2 linked regions of the Mus musculus genome follow. The protein of the gene in region 2 purifies or fractionates together with the protein of the main gene of each other region. This does not show direct contact. Links are inferred from orthologs where the notes say so. Each region holds a gene or a part of one and is shown on either strand. Other genes may lie near its edges.

The links.
Region 1: the proteins of Eef1g (region 2) and Eef1a1 purify together in Homo sapiens (affinity purification with mass spectrometry; 5 studies listed by BioGRID and IntAct, counting the BioPlex papers as one, with this or other methods). This does not show direct contact. The link is inferred for Mus musculus from reciprocal best matches to the Homo sapiens genes EEF1G and EEF1A1.

Annotation. Positions count from the first base shown.
Region 1 is NC_000075.6:78,476,426-78,485,284, forward strand, and holds Eef1a1 (elongation factor 1-alpha 1), read right to left. Parts: upstream 5,300-8,859; 5' UTR 5,214-5,299; intron 4,264-5,213; 5' UTR 4,230-4,263; coding exon 4,086-4,229; intron 3,996-4,085; coding exon 3,816-3,995; intron 3,724-3,815; coding exon 3,427-3,723; intron 3,350-3,426; coding exon 3,199-3,349; intron 3,110-3,198; coding exon 2,853-3,109; intron 2,768-2,852; coding exon 2,533-2,767; intron 2,434-2,532; coding exon 2,309-2,433; 3' UTR 2,028-2,308; downstream 1-2,027. UniProt on the Homo sapiens protein: Translation elongation factor that catalyzes the GTP-dependent binding of aminoacyl-tRNA (aa-tRNA) to the A-site of ribosomes during the elongation phase of protein synthesis.
Region 2 is NC_000085.6:8,963,683-8,972,668, reverse strand, and holds the start of Eef1g (elongation factor 1-gamma), read right to left. Parts: upstream 5,629-8,986; 5' UTR 5,456-5,628; coding exon 5,444-5,455; intron 4,454-5,443; coding exon 4,295-4,453; intron 3,508-4,294; coding exon 3,444-3,507; intron 3,306-3,443; coding exon 3,163-3,305; intron 2,826-3,162; coding exon 2,682-2,825; intron 163-2,681; coding exon 33-162; intron 1-32. Other genes in the region: Tut1 (speckle targeted PIP5K1A-regulated poly(A) polymerase), read right to left, coding at 6,509-7,635, 8,016-8,108, 8,295-8,405, 8,540-8,649. UniProt on the Homo sapiens protein: Probably plays a role in anchoring the complex to other cellular components.

The sequences.
Region 1 (8,859 bases), on a different chromosome or scaffold from region 2:
CCAACCTAGTCTACAGAGTAAGTTCCAGGACATCCAGGGATAGACAAAACTGTAGCTCAGAAAAATGCCTTGTAAGTCAAGTTTTCCAAAACTCAAATTGAGCCAAACCTACTAGTAAGCTTCTAATTCCATTCTCAGGGGGGCTGTGATAGAAAGATCACAAGTTCAAGGCCTGCCTGAGCCTCTCAATTCTTTTGAAGGAATGAGGATCACTGCTCAGTGGGAGTGTATCTTCCAACCATATGCAAAGGCCCTAGGTTCACCCAGTACCTTTCCCAAGAACTGCCAAGAGGTTCATTTAGACCCAGAGGCTAGCCTGACTGCAAGATAAGGGAGTGTGGGGGCAGCATTCTCAAGAGTATTTTAAGAGCCATGTGCCTTTGGACAAAGGACAACTTGAGGGATGTTCTGCTATGTGCATCTAGGGACTAGACTGTCTCGCCAGCCTTTCAAGCCCAGCCTGCCTTCATTTACTTTTATTTCTAAGGATGTCAAGACTCCCTAGCCCTTATGCAACCCAGACTGAGACTGCACTGACTTTAAACCCTACTCATTAGTAGCAACTGGCCTTATCCATGTGGAGCCTTTATCTCCCACATTAAAGCCCAAATGTTTTAAAAAACATGTTTTAAAAGAGTTCAAGATTTTGCCTACATGGGTACTGTATATGGACCTGGTACAGACAGGCCACTAGAACTGTTGTAAATCATGTGGGTGCCAGAAACCGGGGGAAATTTTCACTAAGTCCACACTAAAGTCATATAACATCTAAACAGCTAGCCTTTTAGAGCACTTAGCTTTCACGTGTTTGATTTTAATCAAGACTAAAGACTACCTATGTAGCTCACGTGGTGGAAGGCTTGCCTACCAAACCTTTGGCCCTGAATTCCATCCCCAGAAACATGCTTTTATTCTGAATGTTTTGTCTTCAAAGCACCAGTAGATGGTGCTACTCCACTTATACACGTAAGTGTGCAGGTTTGAAAAACGGTGTTTGTATCCAGCAGACACTTGCTATCAATTTCCCAGGTAGGTCTTGATTCTTATTTAGGGTCTAACAGCTTACTTAAGCTATTTCACTATTAGCAATCCATTTTAACCAGTCCTACTTGAAATAACCTCAACTAAGGAACTGACAAGCCTTTAGTAAAGAGTTTGCAGCAACAGCAACCCTTAATCCCACAAGCACTAGAATTTTATCCAGTCTCTAAGGGTAAAGATGACACATTGGATGTTTTTGCCATATCAAAGGGGTTATTACACATCACTTTTCTGAGTCTAGATTATCTAAACTTAGGCCACCTGTTTTCATCTCATGGACTTCATGACATATCCTATGCAGTCTTGCCAATCCACTTCCAGGGACTAGCCCATGTTTGTTCTGCCAAAGTCAGGCTAACATGCCTCAGTTTTGAAACTTATTTCAAATTACATGTTCTGGCAACAAGTACAGTCACTGTAACCAAAATCTCAGTATAAATACTGAACAGCTTTTACCTTATTATTGAAGGTATTCCTACCACCCTACCATCAGCTTGTTTTGCAAAAGCTCATCTTAGAAAATCCCTTTTGCTTAGCCTCTTCGTTCTCACCTATTCATTCAAGATTGGTCTTTTTAGTTAAGGTTCTCTCCTGTGTAATTGTGGAAGGAAATGCTCAAGTAATTGTCCAACCTTGCTTCATTTCCAATATTCACAAAGCACACTCAGTAATCCTATGTGGTAGCATACTCCAATGCTGCCTAAATCAAACTTAGCTGTCACACCCAAGTCTGACCTACTGCATGCAGATCCAGACAGATTGGGGTATAGGTATAGTCTGCCCAACTATACCACACCTTGGGTTGATACAGCAAAATTACTTTGTCCTCACCAGTAAGATTTGAAGTTAACCCAAATCAGCCCTGTTTATAGCTCAGTTCTGGGCAGACCCAGACAACCAGAACTCAATCCCTAAGAACATACCATGGGGACCCCAGTACCTTTGTTGTATACAGTCAGTTAACTTTCAGCATTGACCAACACAGATTTCTCATTAAACTTGTTTTAATGGTCTCAAAATTCTGTGACAGATTTTTGGTCAAGTTGTTTCCATTAAAAAGTACTGATTTTGAAAACTAATAACTTAAAACTGCCACACACAAAAAAAATGGTCCACAACATTCTTTCCTTCTGAAGGTTTTACGATGCATTGTTATCATTAACCAGTCTTTTACTATTAAACTTAAATGGCCAATTGAGACAAACAGTTCTGAGACCGTTCTTCCACCACTGATTAAGACTGGGGTGGCAGGTGTTAGGGGTAATATTCATTTAGCCTTCTGAGCTTTCTGGGCAGACTTGGTGACTTTGCCAGCTCCAGCAGCCTTCTTGTCCACAGCTTTGATGACACCCACAGCAACTGTCTGCCTCATGTCACGAACAGCAAAGCGACCTATATAGAAAAATGCCATTTATCAGTATCTTTGCTATGCAAGCAACATTTCCTATTACAAACTTGATGTTCAGTGTAGCAGACTCAGATCAGGCTTACCAAGTGGAGGGTAGTCAGAGAAGCTCTCAACACACATGGGCTTGCCAGGGACCATATCAACAATGGCAGCATCGCCAGACTTCAGGAACTTGGGGCCATCTTCCAGCTTCTTACCAGAACGACGATCGATCTTTTCTTTAAGCTCAGCAAACTTGCATGCTATGTGGGCTGTGTGACAATCCAGAACAGGAGCGTAGCCAGCACTGATTTGGCCTGGATGGTTCAGGATAATCACCTAAGAAAAACAGCGTGTATTTAAGTCTTGCCTTGTGATTCTGCACACACAACCAATCTAGCCACCTATCTTAAAAATGTGTCACCTGAGCAGTGAAGCCAGCTGCTTCCATTGGTGGGTCGTTTTTGCTGTCACCAGCAACATTGCCTCGTCTAACATCTTTGACCGACACGTTCTTTACATTGAAGCCCACATTGTCCCCAGGAAGAGCTTCACTCAAAGCTTCATGGTGCATTTCAACAGACTTGACTTCAGTTGTTACATTGACTGGAGCAAAGGTAACCACCATGCCAGGCTTGAGAACACCAGTCTCCACTCGGCCCACAGGGACAGTGCCAATGCCTAAAATAGTATTGTTTTGTATAAGTATTTAATACACAAAACATAAGACTTCAAATTCACGTCAACATTCTACTTAATATTCTACTTACCTCCAATTTTATAGACATCCTGGAGGGGCAGTCGCAGGGGCTTGTCAGTTGGACGAGTTGGTGGTAGGATACAATCCAAAGCTTCCAGCAGCGTGGTGCCACTGGCACTGCCATCTTTGCGGGTGACTTTCCATCCCTTGAACCAAGGCATCTAAAACACAGGCAGTCAATTATAACCTCCTTACTTATTGCGGCTTTCTCCATTCAACTACCTTAAAAGTCACTTACATTAGCACTTGGCTCCAGCATGTTGTCACCATTCCAACCAGAAATTGGCACAAATGCTACTGTGTCAGGGTTGTAGCCAATTTTCTTAATGTAGGTGCTGACTTCCTTAACGATTTCCTCGTATCTCTTCTGACTGTATGGTGGCTCGGTGGAATCCATTTTGTTGACACCAACAATCAGCTGTTTCACACCCAGGGTGTAAGCCAGAAGAGCATGCTCGCGGGTCTGCCCGTTCTTGGAGATACCAGCTTCAAATTCACCAACACCAGCAGCAACAATCAGGACAGCACAGTCAGCCTGTAAGAAACAAGACAATCATATACCATTATCTCAGAGAAAGCACCCCACTAAAAAATATCCTGAGTCAGGAATGGGTAAATTTTACACACCTGGGATGTGCCTGTAATCATGTTTTTGATGAAGTCTCTGTGTCCTGGGGCATCAATGATGGTCACATAGTATTTGCTGGTCTCGAATTTCCACAGGGAGATGTCAATAGTGATACCACGCTCACGCTCAGCTTTCAGTTTGTCTAAGACCCAGGCGTACTTGAAGGAGCCCTTTCCCATCTGCAAAGTGACTTCTAATTAGTACACCCAAGACCTAGGTTCTACTCCCTGCTTAAAGAATTCCCATCCCTCCTTTTGCCTTATACTTGCCTCAGCAGCCTCCTTCTCAAACTTTTCGATGGTTCGCTTGTCGATTCCACCACATTTGTAGATCAGGTGGCCGGTTGTGGTGGACTTGCCGGAATCTACGTGTCCGATTACGACGATGTTGATGTGAGTCTTTTCCTTTCCCATTTTTGCTTTGAATTAGCGGTGGTTTTCACAACACCTAAAAAAGGGTTTAAAAGATACCTTTGAACCGCTAAGAAGCCCGAGAATTAGCTCCGCTCAAAACTCAAGGGGACAAATTCCAAAAATGACTTCCAGCGCCAGGCTGGCCTGACTAGTCTCCACCCACCAAATGTGAACAAACTCCAACGCCATTACATCCCCTCCCCCCGCCGCGACTAGCCGTGCTCAAAAGCCCGAGGTGACTATTGCGGCCGATAGGACCACGGGGTCACAGGAAGCAGCAGCCGGTGAGGGACCAGGCCCTCTTCCTTTGTGTGGGTGACTCACCCGCCCGCTCCACCGGGCTGCCGCGTCCTCCATTTTGAGCTCCTTGCAACAGGGCCCGGGAGCGGCCATCTTTCCACGCACGCAACTGGTGCCGGACGGGATGGCCTCACCCTAGTTAGGGAGGCAGGGCAACGCGGCGCCGCCAAGCCAGATCGTGCCGGGTGCTGGGGCCACATGGCCTCGGCACGCTAACCCCAGCCTGGTTGCTTCGGGAAAAACCCCAGGCCTCGCCCCATCCAGGTGGCGTCGGACATGTGCTCCGAAGGCGGGCGGGCCCCAGCCGCCACTCCTGTCCCTCCATTCCTCCCCAACCATGACCTCTCCGGGCTCCGGGCGAGCAAGCCCCGCACCCTCCCTTTGTTAGCCCCTATTGCTGAACGGCAATCGAAGGCAGCAGGGCAACAACAACAACAAAAAAAAAAAGACCAGAGTGCGGCCGGAGTAGCACGCGGCGGCGGCGCGGACACCACGCTAGGCCTCAAGCCGGACACGAGGCGAGGCTACGGGGTTGCCGCTAGGCCTCGCACTCTGCCTCCCGCGCCGCCCGCAACTCGAAGCGGGAATGCTCGCAGCTAATCCCCGCCGACGACAGCGGGGCCCGGCCCGCTCGGAGCAGGACCTCCAGCTCGGCGGCCCGCGGAAGCCACACCCGCCCCTCACCTGCGTTCTGACGGCAAACCCGTTGCGAAAAAGAACGTCCAAGGCGACTGCCGCACTTATATACCGTTCTCCCCCACCCTCGGGAAGAGGGCGGAGCCAGCACACGACACCGCTTTCCCAGTTTGCCCCGCGCCAGCTCCCCGGTCCTCCCCCCCATCACCCCCCCCCCCCCCGCTCAGTGCGCCCCTCCCCCCACGACCAGGGTCTATGAGCTTGTGTGCTCTGCTCTCCCCGCGCTCAGCCCTGAGCGCATGCTCCTCGCACTGTGGTGGGGCGGGTACCGGGATTATGGGTTATGAGAATTTAGCGACGGTCCCTGGGACTTCCCCAGGCGAAGGCGATCCCTCCTTTTGTATGAATTACTCTTGGCCCTAGCGGAGGGTGGGGCGGCGAGAAGCTGGCCAAGAGGGCGGCCAGAATCTATCCCTACTCTTCCTTACTCCGCTGCCAAGGCTGTGTCAAGATCCGGGTGTCCCTTCCCACGGAGGCCACCTCCCGACGTCAGCCCCGCTATCCTTCTGTTCGCCTCCCGCAGCCCATGCTCTCCTGGCTGGGAGAGGAACACAATGTTGGGGACCCTTCCCGGCTCTAGAACCCAAGGGCTTAGCTCAGTAGCGGAGAGCTCGACCGATCTGCCCCTGGGCTGGCCCCTTGGTTTATTCCATCCAATGCCGGTTGATTCTCTGGAAACCTGAAGCGGCCTTCACACCCCTAAGGGTTCAGTTCAGAATATGCTTCAATCCTACAGTTAGCTTTACTTTGATTCTAGGTTTGTTACACTAAAAAGATTGTATGTGTACATGTGTATGTACAGCCATTTGATTGAACATGAGAAACCTGAAAATAATCTAATCCACCCCACATGGTCTCATCTAAATACCAGCATCAGCAATCTCCCAGCGCCCATCCCTAACACTTGTGAAATCACTGCTTCTCAAAAATGGCTTGCCTTGTTAGTTACATCCCTTTCTTTGCTGCAATTCTAGCGATCATACCAGCATTGTTTTGTTATTGAGACAAGGTCTCTCTTTTTTAGCCCTGGCTGCCCTGGAATAGGTAGTAGACCAGGCTGACTTCAAATTCACAGGAATCCGACCTGGACCTGCTGGGATTAAAGCCCTGGCCATTTTTAAATGCCTCTCAGAGCAGGCACACAGAAGTGTTTCTCAGAGGAAAGAAGAACTTCTTTGTTTTGTTTTTTAATGCTAGAGATGGAAAAAGAATTATTTTGTAATGGGATATGGGGTGCTGGAGATGGAACCCTAGGGTGTCTATCACCAAGTTACAGTTCCTAGCTCAAAGATATCCTATCTGATTATCCATCATTGGATCTCCTCTCCCAGGTGTACAACATCACTTCCCAGTTACAAACATTTGATGTTCTTGCACCAACCTTACTAGGAGCATTTGAGGGCCTCTGTCTAGTGTTCACAAAAACACACAGGATTTGCAAAGGAACTATTTGTTTCTGGGGAAGAGTTCCACAGTCAAGGGAAAAACTTAAATATAAAACAATTTGGAACCAGTTCAAAGCAAATTTACATGATGCTTCTCATTTCTTGTCTAGTTCTAGTTTTCAACTATTTTTCACATCCCAAACTGTTGTTTTTTAACTTTTTTTTAAAAGTGGTATTTATTTAGTGTGTGTGAATGCGTGTGCCACATCACCCTGTGCGGAGGCCAGAGGCCAGAGGCCACCTTTCGTGGGGCAGGTTTGCCCCTCAACTACGTGGACCTATGGGATCTAACTCAGTCAGGCTTTGCAGCAAACGCCTGTACCCAGAGAGCCATTTCATGTCCTACTTTTGTTTTTGTTTGAAACAGAACTTGATGTAGCTCAGGCTGGCCTCAAACTCATGTTGCTGAGGCTGGCCTTCAATTTTTTTTTTTTTTTTTTGGTTTTTCGAGACAGGGTTTCTCTGTGTAGCCCTGGCTGTCCTAGAGCTCACTTTGTAGACCAGGCTGGCCTCGAACTCAGAAATCCGCCTGCCTCTGCCTCCCGAGTGCTGGGATTAAAGGTATGCACCACCATGCCCTGCTGGCCTTCAATTTCTAATCTTCCTAGCTCCACTTCTCAAGTACTGGGATCTCAGGTGTGCCCCCCCACCCCGCATCCTCCCCACAGCCCTCCCACCCCCACCCCAGGCTTCTTTTCTTGCCTAAGTGAGAAACAAAGACCCTGTAATAGCCTTCCTAATTCTTAGTTTACAGATCCTTATAACTTCCTAAAGGCAGATTTTCTCACTCATCAGGTGGCTTCTAGCTTCATTTTCATCTAACACTGGTAATTGTAATCAAAGAATCCAGGACAACGTTTCCCTCCAAGTATATACATATAACTAATCATTTGCTATCCACAGAAGCCTTTTCTTTTTCTGGTCAATGAGGTTGTTAAAGGATCACACACAGGATCTATTCTATGCGTGCTAGGCACACAAAAGCCTTTTCTGTAATGTCCACATTAGCCTCTCTCATTTCACAAATTCTTTTTTTCCACACAGAATTTTTCTGGGGTCCCTAGCCAGTCATATGCATACAGGATAGAATTATCTTGATACCCTACTGCCTATTTGTAACAGGAGAAATTGTAAGAAATACTCGAAAACCCATCGGCAGCAACAGAACCCACTCTCTGCTCTCTCTCTCATTTATTTCCTTGGAGACACTGGCTAGAGACTCCTCTTTGCAGCTTGTTTCCCACAGTCAGCGGTGGGATACATTAGTGTATACAGTAGTGGTATCTGTCCCACACGAGATATTATCGAGATATTATTTTCCATGCTTGCTTTAGCAATATATGCTTCCAATGGTTTGGGCTTATATATTATTGGGGTAATAGAATAGTACACATCTTTTATTTTGTCTTCTTTAGTTTTCAAGACAAAGTTTCTCTATGTAACATCCCTGGCTGTCCTGGAACTCACTTTGTAGACCAGGCCAGCCTCGAATTCACTGGGATCTGCCGGCCTCTGCCGCCCCTGTGCTGGGATTAAAGGCCTACACCACCAAGCCTGGCAACCCTGCATATTTTTTTTAGCAGGAATGGCACATTTTTGACAATGTAAAGAAATTATTATTTTATGACCTGAGGGTTTGAATCAAAAGATTAAAGACTGAAAGTTTAGAGGATTTGTTTTCATTTTTTTATTTTATATATGTGGACGTTTTGCCTGCACGTGTGTCTATGCACTGTGTGCATTCCAGGTGCCCTCCCTGGGGGGCGGGGGAGGGGGGAGTGTCAGGGTGTTAGGCCTCTAGAACTAGGATGGTTGTAAGCTGCCTGATCTGCATGCTGAGAACTGAACCCCTGTCCTCTATAAGAACAGCAGGTCTTACCTGTTGAGCCATCACTCTAGACCTACATGCTGTATATTGTTTGTTTTTCTTATTTTAAATTTATTTGTTTTACACTCTATATTTTACCCCCCCACACACACATGTTGTTTGTTTTGTTTTCTGAGTCAGGGTCTTACTGTGTAGCCCTGGCTAGCCCAGAACTTACTATGTAGACTAGGCTGGCCTCAGAAATCCTCCTGACTCTGCCTGGCAAGGTAGGGGTGGGGGGCGTTTCTCCTCTTTTGTTCTGTTTTGTTCTGTTTTCTGATTGTTTAGAGACAGAGTCTCATGTAGCTTAGGCTGGCCTCAA
Region 2 (8,986 bases):
CCCTATCACATGCCCAGTCTCTTCAGACTTACCATCAAACTGAGCCATCTTCTCACACAGCTTCACCTCCCCCAAGATAGCCCTGAACTGGGGCTGGTTAATGCAGGTAAGGAACCACCGGTTGGTATTGGGGAAGGCCTGGCGAAAAGAAGGCTCTAAGACCTGCCAAGAGGGAATGGCAGAAACAAGATCAATAATGGAAAGGCCATGAACAGATTTCAAACCACAGCAAAAGCCCCTTACCTCCAGGTCCACTGTCCTCTCCATGCCACATCAGAACCTTAAATGACTACACCTCCAGGAAGACTCCTTTTCAAAGAAAAGTTTTCAAAGAAGACTCCTTTTATGTGTATTGAGTGTTTTACCTACATATACACATATACGACATACATGCAGTGTTCCCTGAGGCCGTAAGACAGTGCCAGGATCCCTTGGAAATGGAGCTGTAGATGACTGAGGCATTATATGGGTGCTGGTAATTAAACCCTGGCGGAAGGGTGGCCATTGCCCTTAACCACATAACTGTTGAGCTCTTTCCAGTATTCTCTGTGTTTCAGTCAGCTTTATTACATAACCCAAGTGAGCCTTTCACATCAGGATCCTCCCATCTCCACTCTGCTGTGCTGGGAGTATAGGCGCTTTCTCCCTCGTCTTTAGTTCAGTCGAGGATGGCTGTTCCCAGTCCTTCATGCACCATTGCTACTTAATGATTTCATATTCTGCTCTTTCATCTATTCTTTTCTTTTAAAGTTTTATTTATTTCATGTAAGTGAGTACTGGTGTGTCTTCAGCCACACCAGAAGAGGGCATCAGATCCTATTACAGATGGTTGTGAGCCACCATGTGGTTGCTGGGAATTGAACTCAGGACCTCTGGAAAAGCAGCTGGCGCTCTTAACCACTGAGCCATCTCTCTAGCCCCTCTTTCATCTATTCTTAATTTTAAAAATTTCATGCCAACAATCCCAGCACCAAGAAAGCAAAGCAGAGGCAGGCAGAGCTGAGTTTTAGGGCAGCCTGGTCTACAGAGAAACCCTATCCCCCCCACCCCCCCAAAAAAGATTGAAAAGGCTGTAAGAAGAGCCTGTCTAGAGTACCGGGGGGGGCTAGGAATGTGGCTTAGTAGCAGGTGACCCAGACATTGGTCAAGGCACCGGGTTCCAAATCAGCACCCAAATGGGGTAGAGTGGGGTGACTACCACACTTATTTTGCTATGACAACCCTCCAAAAAAAGATACTTCGTGTGTGATGCTAGGAATGGGACATAAAGCATGCCAGGTAAATCACTGGGCTCCACGCTAGCCCCGCACTGCGACTCTAACACACACAGAAGGCACAAGCAACCCAAGACTAGATAGAGCAGCAACACAGCACGTGCCCAGCAGACACAACACAGTCCTTCCTTCAAACCTCGTCCTTGAAAAACTTACATTCATTCTTATGTTTTAGTGCTTTTCTTCCAAGTATATCTGTGCCCACTTAGATCATAAAACACCGGCTCCCCGAGTTGGCGTTATATAGTTTTAAGCTGCCATTTGTGTATTGGGAAATAAACATAGCCTCTGCAAAACAAGAACTCTTCGAGTGCTGAGCCATCTCTCCTGCCCCACACTACCATCTTACAAGCTCCTGTTTGGTACTTTTCTGTATCTGGGTGTCTTGCCTGTGCGTTTGTCTATGCACCACGTGCATTCCTAGGGCTCACGGAAGCTGGAACATCAGATCTTCTGGAAATGGAGTTCCAGTTGTGAGAAGCGTGTGGGTGCTGAGAATCCACCAGAGTCCTCTGGAAGAGCAGCAAGCATTTTTTAAAACTATTGACTCATCTCTCCAGCCCCTGTCATTTTCTACTTTGTCAAAACAGGAGTGGGTAGAAGGGTAAATCATGGAGACAGATCACAGAATTCAGTTAGTCACGCACCGCAAGTTCTGCAGTGACTTGAACATGTACTTGCTGTGTGTTGTGGCCATGGAAGGATTATAATGAACCCTGTGAGGCACACCAGTCTGGCAAACAATGGCATTTTTTTTTGTTCTCACTGGACTGTAATTCTGAACCAGAATGGGTCCAGAGCTGCTGCCGCCTAGAAATCAGCAACACAATATTAAAAAAAAAAAAAAAAACAAACATGGGGGTTGGGGGCAGCTGGGGATGGCTACCTGGTTTGATTCCTAGCACACACATAGTAGCTCACAGCCATCTGTAACTCAAGCTCCTTGGGATCTGCATGCATGCACACACATATGCAAATACATGTAGACATAAGCTGAATACCACCTTGGACTTATCACAGATAAATAACTATGAGAATTCTTATACCACTGCATCTTTAAACACTGAAGTTAAGACAGAGACCTGAATCTGCCTCCAAAAGCTCTCGCTGCTGCAGTCACTATCCCTGTCTCTTACATCTTTGATTTTTGCTTTCTATTTTTGATATCACTATGTAGCCTAGGGTGGCCTTAAACCAGAATGATCCTCCTGTCTCAGTATCTCAAGTGCTGGGATTACACAAGTATGAGCTACCACACGCAGCCTTTATCCATCTTTAATAAGATGGAAACAGTCACAGTTCTCACTGTTGGGATCCCTACAATCATTAACTACTGGTCTGTCTTAAGCAAAAACAGGGTTACCCTAATACAGGTCTAACCCCTGTCACATGGGATATAAACCTTACCTGTTTATAGAGCCACAACAGGGTACAGACAACTGTAATATCAGCCAGTGTCACTCGCTCGCCCACTAGAAAAGTTCGAGTCTTCAAGTGAGTGTCCAGCAGCCCCAGGATTCGCTTCACCTCCTCTTTCGCATTTTCAGTGGCCTGTTGTTTTGAATACTCAAGCTTAGTGGGTACCAAGTCCCTTTCCTCAGATCCCCCCACCAACAGAACTAAAGAAGCCATTTAACCAGCCATCGACTCAACCCCCACCCTCTATCATTAGACTCTAGAATCAGTTGAAACTTATCAGAAATGAAATCACTCGTGTTAGATATCTTCATGATCAACATGACTTTATTTGCACCATACTGATGGTAGCCACTTTAGTCTGCATTGCCCCCACACTCCTGCTATCTTTTCCTTCATCTGTCTCCCAGTCCCAAAATGTAGGCTCTGACTCTATCTCTGGCCCAGCTTCTCCCCAAGTTCCAAAGCGTACCTGTTTGTTGTGGTGCATAATGCCCAAGGTGGGGAACACCCAGGTACTAGCTGGAGGAACGATGTCACTGTCAGCAAAGCTGACCCACTGCACCACCTGAGCTGCCGCCTCTGGCGTACTTCCTCGCAGCTCCTCATTGCTTACTGCAAAGGCAGACATAGAGCTTAGAACTTTGACCTCATGCCAAAACCAAGCCGGGTCTCTGATTCCACCTTGTCCGCCACAGCCGCTTCTACAGCCTTACCCCCATACCCTCTCACGCCTGTATCCCCACAAATTACCATAATAGGCAATGGCATTGCTCTCAAACACACAGAATCCATCATCACCCTCAAATGCTGGAACCTGTGGAGAAAGTAGCAGAAAACATAAACACAGAGATTTCTCAGTAGCCAATTCTCCAGGCTGAATTGTTCTAAATAATATGTTAAGACAGACAACTCTTGCTACGCTAATTCATGACATCTCAAGCTCAGAAGTGAAAATTACTTAGTATCCCTCATGATATGAATTCACAAGGGTGAAATTCAAACATAGCTAAAGTGTGGTGCCCCATACCCTTGTCTGAAACCAGCCAGCAAGCTACTGAGACCCCACCTCAAAATAAACAAATTCAGATATGGATGCCACCCAACAATCCCACAGCTTCACTGCCCAAATCATTAGGTGCCATCCAGACTTAGCATTTGCCTCTATATTTAGATTTGGATATTTAGCTCTACTCATGCTCTATGGGGTAAGAATCCAACTCTCAAGACATACTTAGTACATACATACAGATAACACCTGGTGAAAATACATTTTATCCTACAAATATAAACCAGGCCTGGAACTCCTGACAGTCACTGAACAGCTGTGAATACAATGGAACTTCATAATTACAATGGAGACAGGATCTTACTATACTTATAGGCTTGCTTCACACAATCTCCCTGCCTCGGTCTCCGGGAGCTTTCAAAATTATTTTTTTCCTTTGGGCAGTCAAGTTCAGAGGCTTTAATAGGTTACATTCCTAGCCCCTTAAAATTTCTTTAAAAAAATATATATATAAATAAATACACACACACACACACCATGGGGGCCATCTCCAGAATAATGGAATTCTAGAGATCCCAGATGCTTCCCCACTCACCTTGCCGGCAGGAAATTTTCGGAGAAATTCAGGGGTGCGGTTGGTTTGGCCAAAGTGGAAGTGGGGTGGTGCGGAGAGCACGCGGACCTGAGCCCCGCTGTACTGAGCAGCGATGAGGGCCTTGAAGGCCCTCCAATTTTCAGGGTATGTGTACAGGGTCTACAAGAGAAAGGGTGAAGGATGGACTAGAGGCAAGGAACCCTGAATGCCACTCCCCACGCACACTTCCATGCAATTCCAATGTGCACAGCTTAGATTCACTCCTAGTGAACCGAGTATGCCCCATGTAATCAGAGTCCTCTGAAATACCAAGAAGAACATCCCAGCTGCTAAATAAAGCTTACCGACAGATGTGACCTCTCTTAAGGACATCTCTAGAGGCATTCTTCCCTTCAAAACTTCTGGTCCCATCTGCCTAAACACACGAACACTCACACCCATCTCTCCCAGAACCCTTGTTTCATTCATTGGCGGTGACCCGGAGTCTAACTACTTCCAGGCTGCTATCACTTCAAAAGCACACACACAGACCAAGGGATTTCAAAGTTCCCCTCAGAATCGACACGCTGAATTCTAATGTTCATCAGTTATTCTTCCTGAAATGCCTTTCTTTGCACATGGCGAATTAGCAACCCTCTGGTCCTGTCCTGCAGTGAGTTCCCAGTTGTCTCCCTACTAAAATCTCACCAGCAGGGTCCATATGGGCTCACTTCACCCCCCCTTTATTCCTCTGGCTCCCAAACCTCCCCGAAGGTCAACTCCCAACGTGCCAGTCGCCCCTTCCCACAAAGACCCTCTCCTTTCCACGTCCTCGTTGTTGTCCCACAAAACGGTGGCAAAAGTTCCACCAACCTGCTCAGACGCCACACCTCAAAATGGCAGTGAGGTTAAACACTTTTTAAAGGTCCAGACAATGGAGACCCAGCATCTTTTTTCTCCTCAACCCCAGAACGTTCCACCTCTAGCCTCTGAGCCCCAGCCTCAGTTCCCCTCCAGGCCCTAGAAACCATGCTCTCCGACCGTACGGCTTGTGAACCCCAGATCGGCTCGCGGCTTGGGTCTGAAACTCCCCTGGCGCCGACTGGCCCCACTCAGGCAAAGGATGGCGGTGGATAGGGTGACCCTAATCACCGGAGCCGGCAAACTTACCCCAGCCGCCATGGTGATTCCGCAGAGAAAGGGGGTGGGGCTGTCGGTGCTGCCGCAAAGTAAGCCGCAAAGGAGACAAGGGAGGAGGAAAGGAGAGAGCAGTGTGGAAACAGCGGCCGGAAAGCGAGGACGGCATAAAAGGCATACGCACGACAGTTCCGTCTACAGCCCCGCTGAGTTGGAAAAAGCGAGGGGTGGGGCCCGCAGCCTGGAGCGCAGAGAGCGGGCGCCTGCGTAGTATAACTCTGGACGATCCTGCCCCGCCCGCGTCGCCGACCAATCGGAAGCCTGATAGGAGACGGAGCTCACCCAGGGAGGGGAAAAGTGTGAGAACCCGGCGGAAGCACCGCCCCTCGAAGGCTGGTATCTGGAACCCGTGACAAACTACAGGAACTGCCTTAAGGAAGGGGTGGCAATTTACTGAATTCCTTTTGTTCCTGTTCGGGTTTTTTCTGTAAAGGGTCTGTCTGTTCAGCTGGGGCCCACGGCCGAAAACATCTGAAAGTAGGTCTGCTCCGATTAAACTCCGTGCTGTTAAAACTTACACAACAAAGCAGCACGGACCAACTTGCCACGTCACCAGCACCACTCAGGCTTGGCTGCGCCCCAGAGGGTCGGGTAAGGCAGCCCAGTTCTGATACAATAGTTTACACATATCCAAATTTGAAAATAAATCTTGACTCCAGCTTATGGGCAATTTGAACTCTCTTTCACGTTAAAGGATAGAAAAGACAAACCCTAAACCCAAATTTGTGGTTCCCATCACCTGGAGCAGCAGGACAAGTCTCGTGTGGGCAAAGGTTGTTCTCAGAAATCAGTGCCTTTGCCTCGTGGAGGTGGCACTCCCTAGGAAAGTGCTGGCAAGTGGGAAGGAGAGCTCTGAAGTGGAAGTCATAGGACTGTTTTAGAGTAGTCAGGCCAGAAGCTACATTGAGGCAAAGAAAAAAGGCGTTACCAGGAGGAAAACAAAGACCTCGTAATGGTCTTATGAGGGAGTATGCAAAAGAACATTAAATGTCTGTATGAAATAAACTAGCAGCTTTATTGTTTTTGAGGTTTGGTTCCTCACTTGAGGAGATTTTTAAGTGCTTGAGGGATAAAACCCTGTAGAAAATGATGAAGACCAGGGAACAGGCCTTGGGAGTCCTGGAGTGGGGCCACAGTGAGTGTCTGCTCAGCCTGGGAGGCAGATGCCACAAAGCTGAGGAGGGGCTCCCCCGGCGGCCTCTCTTGCTCACTATTGGGTCCTTTTAGTTCCTGGGTCACACGAGCTTCCATTGCCAGCCACTCTGCTCCTGTGGTGGGACCTCCTCTACCTTCTTCCTTGGTTTGTTGCTGTAATCGTCTCCGGGCACGCCGCCTCCCCTGCCATACTTGGTGCCACAAGGCACAGCGCCAGCTCACTGATGATGGGTGTGATGCCTCCTTCCCTGTCTCACCCTGAGACCCTTCTCCAGCCACTTCAGGTTTCATGGGATTATGCTCAGCTGCCTTGTCTAGACAGTTTGCAGTCATCAGGGGCAACTCCTCCTCTGGTGGTCCCGAGTGCAACAAGGCCCAGTCCTGAGGTGTCTCTCGAACCTCTATTACCATTTCTTCTACCTCATTTTCACTGTGGTCCCCTGCACATCCCTGTGGCTCCTCTTTCCCTTCCTCGAAGCTCTTTTCTTGCCCACCAAGTCTCTGTCTTTTGTTCACCCCTCCCAAGGGAGAGTCTTTAATTCTGGCACCTTCTGACCGTCGTCTCTTGGTTCCCTGTTCTATGTGGCATCCTAGTGCTTCCCTTAACACATCCACCAAAGCCATAATGACCTGTGGAAAGGGGGCAGAGGGTAAGGGGATGAGCTTGGCAGACAGCAGGGAGCTAGGGGAGCTGGGCTGCAAAAGCGGGAGCAGTCCCCAGTCCCGGCCCCGGGAGGAACGCTGCTGGTACTGGAGACTTCGGCAGTAACTGGCTGCTGCCCCACAACAGCTCTGCAGACGTTTAGCCACCCGGCCGGTCACATTGGCTGCAACATTGTGACTCAGGTCAAAGGGGTCCTGGAGATTCATGGGGCCAAGGCGCAGCCCTTCCCAGAGATCAGAAGGCAGGCCCTCTGCCACCATCAATGGCCGACCTTCCCGCAGGGACAGCAGGGAGCCAGAAAGATCCAAGCAAGATACGCAGGAGAAGAACTGGGCCAGCAGGGAACCTGATGGAGGCAGATTAGAAAAAAGGGGGTCACCTGGAAGCCATAACTGGGACATCCCTGCAGCTACTTCAGTGGGACTCTCTTCCCTTCATAGGACTTCAGAAGTGTCCTGAGAAACCCAGCCATGCCCTGCCTGACCCAGATGCTTCTGCTTGGCCTAGAGAGCAGGGAAACTGGGGAATACACCTCTTACTTGCCTGCCCAAGATACGTGTTTTTCCATCCATAAAACAGCTGCCATAGGCTACTATGAAGACCATGCCTTACACACAAGTATAATATATGTCTCTTATTCTTGAGCATGCCTTGCACACAAGTATATGTCCCCTATTCTTGAGCCTGTCATCACAATCAGTTTTCTACCAGGTTCCCCAGACTCACTGAGAGGCTCCACGTTGGTGCTGGGCTCCAATCTTGAGGCATCCTTAGGGAAGCTACAGTCCCAGCCATCAACTTCTACCTGTTCCCCTTCACCTGTGACAGTAAGAAGAGACAGTCAGCCCAGAGCCAGTCAGCCCAGAGTCTGCCATTGATGGTGGCAGAGGGCCTGCCTTCTGATCTCTGGGAAGGGCAGAGCCAGAGATCTCATCTCGGGGCTTCTGAAGTGTGAAGGGGTGAGATGAAGCTGAGGTCATGACAGTAGAGGCCGTTCTGCAGTACCTGCTCTCTGGGTAAGCTGGGCCACAGTAGGAAGTACTGGAGGGTCTCTGGTCTGAAGGAAGTAGATCACTAACAACGTCAAGGCGTAGTTATTGAGAAGGGGGCCACCTCCTGGATAATAACCAATAATTCAAGTTAGGAAGAAGTATTTACAAGCCCTGGTTTCTGTGCCCACCTCTTTTTTTCTTGCTAAATCCCTGCCTTTGCCTGACACAAACTTGGGCCAAGTCTGTTCTCATTCTTACCTGACAGCCCATTATGCTGAGCCCAGCAGCGTAAGGTATACACAAGGGGCCGGACTCGACCATCCATCTCAGAGCAGAGATTCAGGAAACGTGAATTATATAAGGCCAACCTAGGACAATGGAGAAGCAAAGGTGTTAGAAATTTTCCCAAAGTTCTACTGACATAATGATCTTATGAGGGAGTATGCAAAAGAACATTAAATGGATCTTAGGGATGTGGCTCAGTGGTGGGACATTTACCTAGCACTGATAAAGCCCTGTGTTGTATCCTGAGCCTAGGGATGAGGTAGGGGGGAATATGTATCCACTGAACCTTAGGCAATACTACATTCCAAATGCTCACCCTGTACTGTCACCATTCATAAGACATGTTGTTTATTTATATAGGACTGCTCAACGGCCAGGTGTAGTAGCACGTGCCTATAATTTCAATACTCAAGAGATTGA